Linked DNA regions of Oryzias latipes. The protein of the gene in region 1 purifies or fractionates together with the protein of each later gene. This does not show direct contact. Links are inferred from orthologs where the notes say so. Each region holds a gene or a part of one and is shown on either strand. Other genes may lie near its edges.

What was found.
Region 2: the proteins of orc4 (region 1) and lrwd1 purify together in Homo sapiens (affinity purification with mass spectrometry; 3 studies listed by BioGRID and IntAct, with this or other methods). This does not show direct contact. The link is inferred for Oryzias latipes from reciprocal best matches to the Homo sapiens genes ORC4 and LRWD1.

The regions. Positions count from the first base shown.
Region 1 is NC_019860.2:3,473,446-3,477,963, reverse strand, and holds the start of orc4 (origin recognition complex subunit 4), read left to right. Parts: upstream 1-1,490; 5' UTR 1,491-1,618; exon of another isoform or gene 1,619-1,624; intron 1,625-1,708; exon of another isoform or gene 1,709-1,727; intron 1,728-2,278; 5' UTR 2,279-2,284; coding exon 2,285-2,341; intron 2,342-2,426; coding exon 2,427-2,503; intron 2,504-2,654; coding exon 2,655-2,745; intron 2,746-2,818; coding exon 2,819-2,894; intron 2,895-2,976; coding exon 2,977-3,062; intron 3,063-3,144; coding exon 3,145-3,193; intron 3,194-3,273; coding exon 3,274-3,425; intron 3,426-3,496; coding exon 3,497-3,670; intron 3,671-4,420; coding exon 4,421-4,507; intron 4,508-4,518. UniProt on the Homo sapiens protein: Component of the origin recognition complex (ORC) that binds origins of replication. DNA-binding is ATP-dependent. The specific DNA sequences that define origins of replication have not been identified yet.
Region 2 is NC_019872.2:25,209,483-25,213,887, reverse strand, and holds the start of lrwd1 (leucine-rich repeat and WD repeat-containing protein 1), read right to left. Parts: upstream 2,855-4,405; 5' UTR 2,818-2,854; intron 2,598-2,817; exon of another isoform or gene 2,519-2,597; intron 1,357-2,518; 5' UTR 1,350-1,356; coding exon 1,270-1,349; intron 834-1,269; coding exon 599-833; intron 413-598; coding exon 293-412; intron 1-292. Other genes in the region: alkbh4 (alpha-ketoglutarate-dependent dioxygenase alkB homolog 4), read left to right, coding at 2,855-2,965, 3,607-3,795, 3,922-4,405. UniProt on the Homo sapiens protein: Required for G1/S transition. Recruits and stabilizes the origin recognition complex (ORC) onto chromatin during G1 to establish pre-replication complex (preRC) and to heterochromatic sites in post-replicated cells.

The DNA.
Region 1 (4,518 bases):
CTGGTTGGCCAAAGTTGGACCCACTTTAACTTGCAACATGCGTTCAAGTTTAGCATGTCCAGCACAAAAATGGTCGTAAAGACTTGCGTAGCTACACAGAAACCCGAAACGTGCATCGACACACATTTACGTAGAGTTTTTATCGGAAGTGGCCTCTTGAATGCAAATTGCCGAGGGAGGTGTGGCGAGTGTAAAAAAGAAAAAGAAAAGGCTAAACGTGATTTCTTGAACACGCGTTTAGTCCACAATGTTCACAATGGACTAGCGAGAAGGGGCTTCTGTTGACTAGCGCCTTACCACCACCTACAGTTGAAAGAGGCTTAGCGCGAAATGACGAATTGGTCATTTAGCCCATGGTTGTAGAAATTTGCGCATCTCTATGTAAATGGGAACGTTTTAAACTTGGAAGTCCGAAATACGTGTTTATACACTTTTATTTTTTTGGATGTGGTTACTTGAATGCAAGTTCTTAAACGTGCGTCTAGCCCACGGTTTTCACAATGGACAAGCAGGGAGGGATTCTTCCTCTACTTTTTTTTGTTCACTGTTTACTAGCGCATGTGCGCCATCTACAGTTGGTAGTGGGTTAGTGCAAAATGTTGAAGTGGTGCGAATCTTGGGAATTCTTTTTTGTTTTTTTTCTAGCACAGCTCTATTCCGGTATGAAAGACTTTTCAACATGTTAATTCTTCCATGAATCAAAAGGGACGCCGTTTGTTCATCACAACCAGATCCGAGGGCCCCGATTGGTCAAAGTTTGACCCGCTTTAAGACACATTCAATGAACATTTCGTTAGTCGAGCCCAAAAATGGCCATAAAAACTTGCCTATTTATGTTTTGAACTTGGAGGCCTGTCACATGCATTTACACCTGTTTACATAGACTTTTTATTGGAAGTGGTCATATGAACGTAGACTGGTAGCTCAGAAGAATTCTACGGAGCTCCTAAAGGGACATTAAAGAAGAAAAGCATTAAGGTAAAAATAAAAAAGGTGGCAAAAAAAGCTAACTGGTTTTCTTTGATTTTTGTTCTTTTTTGTTACTTTGTTTTTTTCCCTAGTCATTAACAACAAAATTAAAATATTTAAACAAAATAAAGTAAATTTTTATGTTTTATAAATCTGTGTTTACATCGAGATAATCTCTTTTATTTGCATCATAAAGAAAAAATGAAAAATAGACCCCCCAAAATTATTATTTTTTTCCCAAACTTTTTTCTTAGTTTGGTAATAAAACCAATTAAAAAAAAAAAGAAATTGCACATTTCCAATGAAAATGAATCAGTAAAAGTCATCATGGGATTTAGATTAAATGTAATTTAAAAACGGACACAGCACTGAGAAAACTCACAAACCATGCTTCTGTTTGAAACAACATTATAATATTATTATTTATCAATTATTTACATATTTTAATGCCGTTTCTGATGTTTTAAAGCGTTTTACTAACCTTTATTTTAAAGAAAAAATATACTCATCCGCTTTCAGTCAATCACGAGTTTTCTTCCAGCCAATCAGAGACCGGAGATTCAGCCCATGCCGGAAGTAGTCATCTCGTGTGTCGCAAAAGTCGCGGGAAGATTCCGGGGGGCTACTGTTTGGTGTTTTCTGGAGCCGCGTGAGTGTAAACAACTTTTGTTTACTAAATGCAACTTTTTGTGCTCAACTTCTCAACATTTCGTGATCACGTGGGGGTGTTTTTTTCTTCAACGTGATGTTTCTTTTAGGTTCATCTCCAGCAGGATCACCGAATAGCCGAACTTCCGTTTTAAATGTGGTTACATTAAAATAATGTTTTCCCACGACGTATTTCTTACGTCTAGAAACGGAATGCGCTGTTTATATTTGATAAATAAAACTTTATTTACAATTCGGCTGACATTATAACCTCAGCAAATTCACTTAAAGGCTTCATTTTGACGGTTTAACATGTTCAAAGCCCAATCATTGGAATCAAATCAAACTTTATTTATAAAGCCCTTTTCATACAACAGCAACGCAACATGTTTTACAGTATCTACCCGGCACTAGGAACATCGGACTTCCTGTTTACATTTCTTTAAATATAGAAATTCCTTTTTTTGGGCGGGGTTTATATGTCTACAAACACAAAAGACTTCATTCTTGATACATAAAACTTTATTTACAATTCGGCTTCCAATGTGACGTCAGGTGGGATACTTAAAGGGATCATTTTAACGTTTTAACTTGTTTACTTCAAAGTCTGATCATTTGATTTAAATCAAACTTTATTAACAAAGCACTTTTTTCTCGTCAGGCCATCATGAGTAAGAGGAAAGGGAAAATCTCCCATCAGCCCCTGGGAGAATGCATCACACAGGCTTGTATCCCTTCCTTAAACCTTGAGTTTGCGTGGTAGTGACTTGGAACTTAATGAATTTGTTTGTGTTTTTATGAATTTCTAGGTTCAACGGATCTTGAGGGAGCGATACTGCCAGCAAAAACTAGCCAAAGGACTCGATGGAGTTGGAGCTCAACACAAGTGGGTTTTTATTTTTATTTTAGCTATGTGTCTGATTAAAGCAAAGACGACCCGCAGCTCTGTGACCCAGTTCAGGCTGACGGCGCCGACCTAGTTTGGTGCCCCACCCCCCATCGTTTGTCAAAGCTCACTTGAAGCTCCGCCCATACAGGCACCTGGAGGAGCTGCTGAGGCGCACCGCTGTCTACGGGGAGAGCAACTCGGTGCTGATCGTCGGGCCGAGGGGAGCGGGGAAAAGCTCGGTGAGGAGGCGGCGAGGGAGGGGTGCTGAGGGTGGGCAGTGCTGGTTGTCTGACGGCGTCTGCGTTTGCGCAGCTGCTGAGGAGCGTTCTGCAGGAGCTGCTGGAGGAGAAGGAGGTGCAGGAAAACCTTCTGCAGGTCCACCTTAACGGTAATTGCGACTTTGTGTCCTCCAAATCTGCCTGCTCCTCTAGTAATTTAGTAATTTTCTTTGTTTTTGTTTTTTGTTCCAGGCCTCCTACAGACCGACGACAGAATTGCACTTAAAGAAATAACCAGGCAGCTCCACCTGGAGAACGTCGTTGGAGAGAAAGTTTTCGTATGTTTTTCTTTTTAGTTTGGCGGCCATTTTTGCCTTAAATCGGATCCAAAAATGTTTTCTTTTTTTTTCCCCGTTTCAGGGAAGCTTCGCTGAGAATTTGGCTTTCCTGCTGGAAGCTCTGAAGAAAGGTTGGACGGGTTAAATTTAAGTGGATGACGGTGAAATCCGGTCCTCTCCAGCACTCTGGTTGTGTTTGTGGTTCCGTCAGGTGATCGCACCAGCAGCCGCCCCGTGTTGTTCGTCCTGGACGAGTTCGACCTGTTCGCCCACCACAAGAACCAAACGCTGCTCTACAACCTGTTTGACGTGTCGCAGTCCACCCAGGCGCCCGTCGCCGTGGTGGGACTCACCTGCAGGCTGGTGGGTCTCTTTTTTTTTACTTTTTCGTCAGGGAAGAGTAGCACCCCTTTGACGTCTTCCTGTCTTCTCAGGATGTCCTGGAGCTGCTAGAGAAGCGGGTGAAGTCCAGGTTTTCTCACCGACAGATCCACCTGCTGAGCGGCTTGACGTTCAGTCAGTACCTGGACCGAGTCCGGGCCCAGCTCAGCCTCTCCGATGATTTCTGCGACAGCAGGTTCGCTCAGGAGTGGAACGCCAGTGTAAAGGTAAACCAAGTGAAATGTTTCACTAGGTGATCAAGAATCTAACAATGTGTCATTTGATATTGTGTAGCAGGCAACAATAGTCGTTGCTATGGAAACTTTTCACACATATTTTAGGATAGAGATATGAAACGTGTCGTACTTGTTTATCAGCCCAAAACATGAAAGAAAGAAAAAATCTATGGTTGCTATGGACTTGATTCCTCTAGGGAGCCTGTGGAAACATGATCTGGTAAAATTCACTGATTTAGTTTGTTTTTTTGTCTTGCTTAATTTTGAGTGAGGATAAGTGTTCAAGACATTTGGCAGAAAAACTTAATTGCACCAAAGACCTCTGGTCGGTGCAACTATTTTTGATCTTTAGTTATGCGATCAATGTAAATCGGCTGATTTTGACTCAGGGGAAAAAGTTGCATATTGGTGCAAACATCATTTGCAAAGCTGCTTTTTCTCCGCATCACAATCCGTTTCCCAATTCCGTTAATTATGTGTTAATTGTGCTATTTTCATGTCACCGGCGACAGCTCCCACGTTAAAGGGTTCATGCTCGTGTCGAGCTGAATGCAACATTGTCTGACAAGCTTAAGTATTGGTTGCTATGGAAAGCATTGATATTTATTTAAGGATAGAGATATGAAACTTGTTTCACCTGGTCATCAGCCAGAGACGTAAAACATTTTCAATGGTTGCTATGGACTTGGTACCTCTGGAGACCTGATTTAGGACGACTAACATTTAGTTTTTCTTCCTTAGAATCTCATCGAGGACAAGTCTGTTCAGGACGTTTTGCAGAGACACTTTGACTGCAGCAAAGACTTTCGGTCGTTGCACGTGCTCCTGGTAAGGGATAC
Region 2 (4,405 bases), on another chromosome or scaffold:
ACATGGATCTATTTGACTGCAAGTTGATGAATCAGAATGGAGCAGAGCAGGCAGCCTGCCAACTCTAGCCTCTACAAAACAAATATGACGTTTTCTAAATGGCATTTTTTTTGTCTGCTCCTGATTCACAACAATTTAAATAAAGAAATACTCAGAAATTCTATTTTGAACTTCATTTTCTTAACATATGTACTCCGTCATAACAAAAAAAATGACACAAGATCGAGTTTAAAAACACCAAAAACACAAATTTTAACTGAAGTTAAGTCTTTCAAAAAAGGCAGTTTCTTACCCTGGTCCTCAGGTTGTCGCTGTAGACGAATCGTAAATGATTGGCGGTTGTGCTGACGTCTTTGCCATTGAAAATCCTCAAGTTAGGCAGCAACACCATCAGCTTATAATTATCACTCACCTGCAACATAGATAACATTCAACTTCATGTCTATAAAACAAAAAGAGTGGAATTAAATACCTTTACTTTGTTAATTGCTTTAAATCCTTTTTTTAATATAATTTATGTGCCTGTGTGACATTACTGCCATTTGTTGTTCTGTGTGAAACCTTCTCTGTAAAACAGCAGAGGGGGAACAGCACTCACTGTGATGTAGAGGTTGTCATCCATCTTAAGCTCTTCCAAAGTGCTCAGAGACTCCAAGGTGGTGACATCTTCCATCTGGTTGTCGCTGAGGTCCAGGAAGAAAAGCACAGGAAGCTTCAGGTTCTTGGGGAACTTCTGCAGTCTGTTTCCAGACAGGTCCAGCCTCTCCAGAGACTGCAGACGGGACAGGAGCTTAACAGGCAGGTCCTGAAGCTGAAGACCCAGCTTAGACAGACTAAAGAACAGAGCAAAGTCAGTTCCTTACACCATACAATGTTAAATACAATGCTGTCCTCGGTTTTTTTTTTTTTTTTAAATCCTGCAATTAAAAACAATTCTATTGTAATTATGATGGCTCTACACCAGGGGTGCCCAAATCCAGGCCTCGAAGGCCGGTGTCCCGGTGTTTTCCAACCATCCTGCCATTGACGTTCCTTATTGGCTGAACATACCGGTACACGAATCAGGTAATCGACAGCAGATGAGGCAGGGTTTCTTGAAAACTAGCCTGGATTTGGACACCCCTGCTCTACACAGAATGGTTTTATTCCTAAAGAGTTTTAAATACATTCTTTGCTGCATGTCCAAGTAACTATCAGTAGTTTACTACCAAGCAAAACAAAAACACAACTACAACAGTGTAGTTGTACAAGAGCTGCACGTGTTCCTACTTTAGTGTCTTGACTTGCTCCAGTTTGTTGGTTTTTGGGGTTCCTTTCTCCAGTAAAAGTTTCTCTGTTATCTTCTCCATTGTTCGACTGCAGATACAATTCAGGAAAGGATTGACTGAATGAATGACAATACACTTTAGTTTAATCTGCACAACCAGTTAAAACAACAGAATTGAAACATATAAAGACCGAGAAACTAAGTTTCTCAAAATAGACATGACCTGATCCTGCCCAACAGTAAGAAAACACTTAGAAGGTAAACTTATGTTATAGCTGCATCTTCTGTGATGTGTCATATTGACTAAATAACGTCCTTATACTACCTCTGCAATCACTTGCAGTGGGGTGTAATGTGCTTCTTTGTTCTGCTTTGATTCAACAAATTAAATGTTAGGTTTGTAAATCTAGGTGAATGTTGTCTTACTACTTTATTTACATTTTCTGCCAAATGATGGGTCCCTCAGAGGTTTGGTTGGGTGATAATCTATAAAATTAACTAAATTAAAGTGAACACAAAGCTTATTTGAACACCACAGCCAAAAAGAGATGATGTGTTGCCACTCAAACATGTTTTAAACTAACAAAACAAAAGGTTAAAGACGTTTTATAAGTAAATTGAGCAAAACTATTTTAGCAAATCATTTTTTCCCACCTTTATTCATAAATTGACAAACATACATTAAAGCGGTAAGCACAAAACAAGAACAAAACGAGCAAAAGGGAATTAGGCACATTTTTTTTATAATAATAATAAATTTTATTTAGAATGCGCTTTATATTTTGGGTAAAATCTCAAAGCGCTACAATGAAGGCAGGATTTACAATGGTTTAAGATAAGAACAAAGTAAGACAAAAAAACAACAACAATAAAAGTACTAAAAAGCATTATTTTATTAAGATATACTTCACAATCATCATGAATAGCTTTGAGTTTAGAACTTTTGGAAATTTCGATGCATTATTTAATTATAACAAGGAAAAGTGACTGTGCAAAACGTTACATTAAGGATTGTATTTTTAGCTAAACTTATGTGATACTAAATAATGTACGTAATCTTAGTTACAAAAGATATTTTAGCCACGTTGACGGTCAAGTTGACGTTGTTGTTTGGACGCATTTTCTGGGTTTTAAAATATTTGAAGTAAATCTAACGAAAGATCGATTAAAACATTGTTGAATCTACGAATATACTCAGTTCATTAATTTGCAATTACAAGCTCGTAAAATTTGGACATAAAAAAAACTCACCAACCAAGGATACACGAACACAAACGCGACACTAAAAATTTCGCGGGGAAAATGTCTACTTCCGGGGGAAAATGTTTATATCCGGTGTGTGCTGTTTTATATACCCTGAGCTTTGACTCATAGGCAAAATAGCTTCAAAGTGAATTTGATTGTGGATAATGATAATAAAGTTAGTGAAATATGAATGTACTTATTTTGTGTGCTGCTAAAAAATTAAATGTTTACAGATAAGGTTTCTAAATCTAACTATTTTATAATTATATCCTGCGCCTCTACCTTTCAACCATACAAGCATATACCTTTAACCCACAAGACGTTAGTTCCGGTTGGCTCAGAATGATGGCTCCGGACGGCAGCGACGGTGTTTCTCAATGCGGATGTAAAGGGATCCGGCTGTGTCTTTTGTGCGAAAATCGCAAAGAAAAAGAGGGGACAAAAGATCCAAAGGTATCTGTATTTAACTAAAACTAACAATTAATTGTATTTGAACCCCCTGCATTTACCTGTTTGCGCTTCTTTCAAATGTACGGAGGTCCTCGCTGGACAAAATACATGATCTCAAAGCATCAATATGCTAGGTGAATACTTTATTTACCATGAAATTTTTAAGTTACAATTTGTTTGCTTTTGTCAGTCGTTCCGATTCATACCAATATTTTTCCCACTTGTGTGACTAAACAACAAAAAGCTAAAACAGTTATTCACGATTTCTTACGAACTTATACGAAGAAGAGTGTAGAATAACCTGACTAGTTTCTCACATTAACTTAAGTTGTTGTTTTTTTTTTAAGACTTTATTTTTTGTTGTTGAGTGTTTCTTGTTAATAATCCACAAACCTAAAACAGAATAACTTTAAACATAACAGCACATAGAACAATACACTTCACTTTGGGCGATCTAAAAAAAACACCACATTTTTAATATTTTTGTTTAAAAGCAAAATGTAATTTTCTAACATATTTGCTAAAAGAAAGAGCACATTATCTGAAGTATGTGAATGAAACTGCCTCAGTTTCCTACAAAGAGGCTAAAAGTGAAGTAATAATTTATATAAATAGACATTTGTTTACTGTTGTCTTTTTTTTAGGCGGCGCATCATTTCATCTACAATCCTGAGACAAAGCTTGCTGTCTGCAAAGATGCAGGGAGTGCATCCTTCTCGTTTCCTGGTATCTTCCTATGGGACGACTTTATATCTGAAGAGGAAGAGAAGCAGCTGATTAACTCAATGGACCAGGATGCCTGGAACCCATCCCAGTCTGGTCGAAGGAAACAGGTAATGCTCTCCCAGTCAGATTAAAAAGGTTTACATTTTTTCTTCTGAAAAGACATGATGAGAGATTTACATTGAAATTAAGTACATTGATTTATAATTTAACCATTTTTCTCATTTTGGTTGCAGGATTTTGGTCCAAAGGTGAACTTTAAAAAAAGAAAAGTGCGTGTGGGTGGCTTCAGTGGACTCCCTAGTTTGAGCAAAGAACTCGTACTACGGATGCAGCAAGAGCCATGCCTGTCTGGCTTTCAGCCAGTGGAGCAGTGCAACCTGGACTACAACCCTCAGAGGGGCTCAGCCATAGACCCGCACTTTGATGACTCCTGGCTTTGGGGGGAGCGACTCGTCACCATCAACATGCTATCAGACACCACACTCACCATGTCGCTTGAGCAGGGTCTGCCAGAGCTGGGACTGTCAGAGGAAATTCATGTGGCCGTTCGCCTTCCACGCAGATGTTTAGTCGTGGTTTACGGCGAAGCGAGGCATCGATGGAAGCACGCCATTCGCAGGCAAGATATTCACAAGCGCCGGGTGTGCAGCACCTACAGGGAGTTGTCTGCAGAGTTTCTGCCGGGCGGGCAGCAGGCAGAGCTTGGAGCTCAGCTGC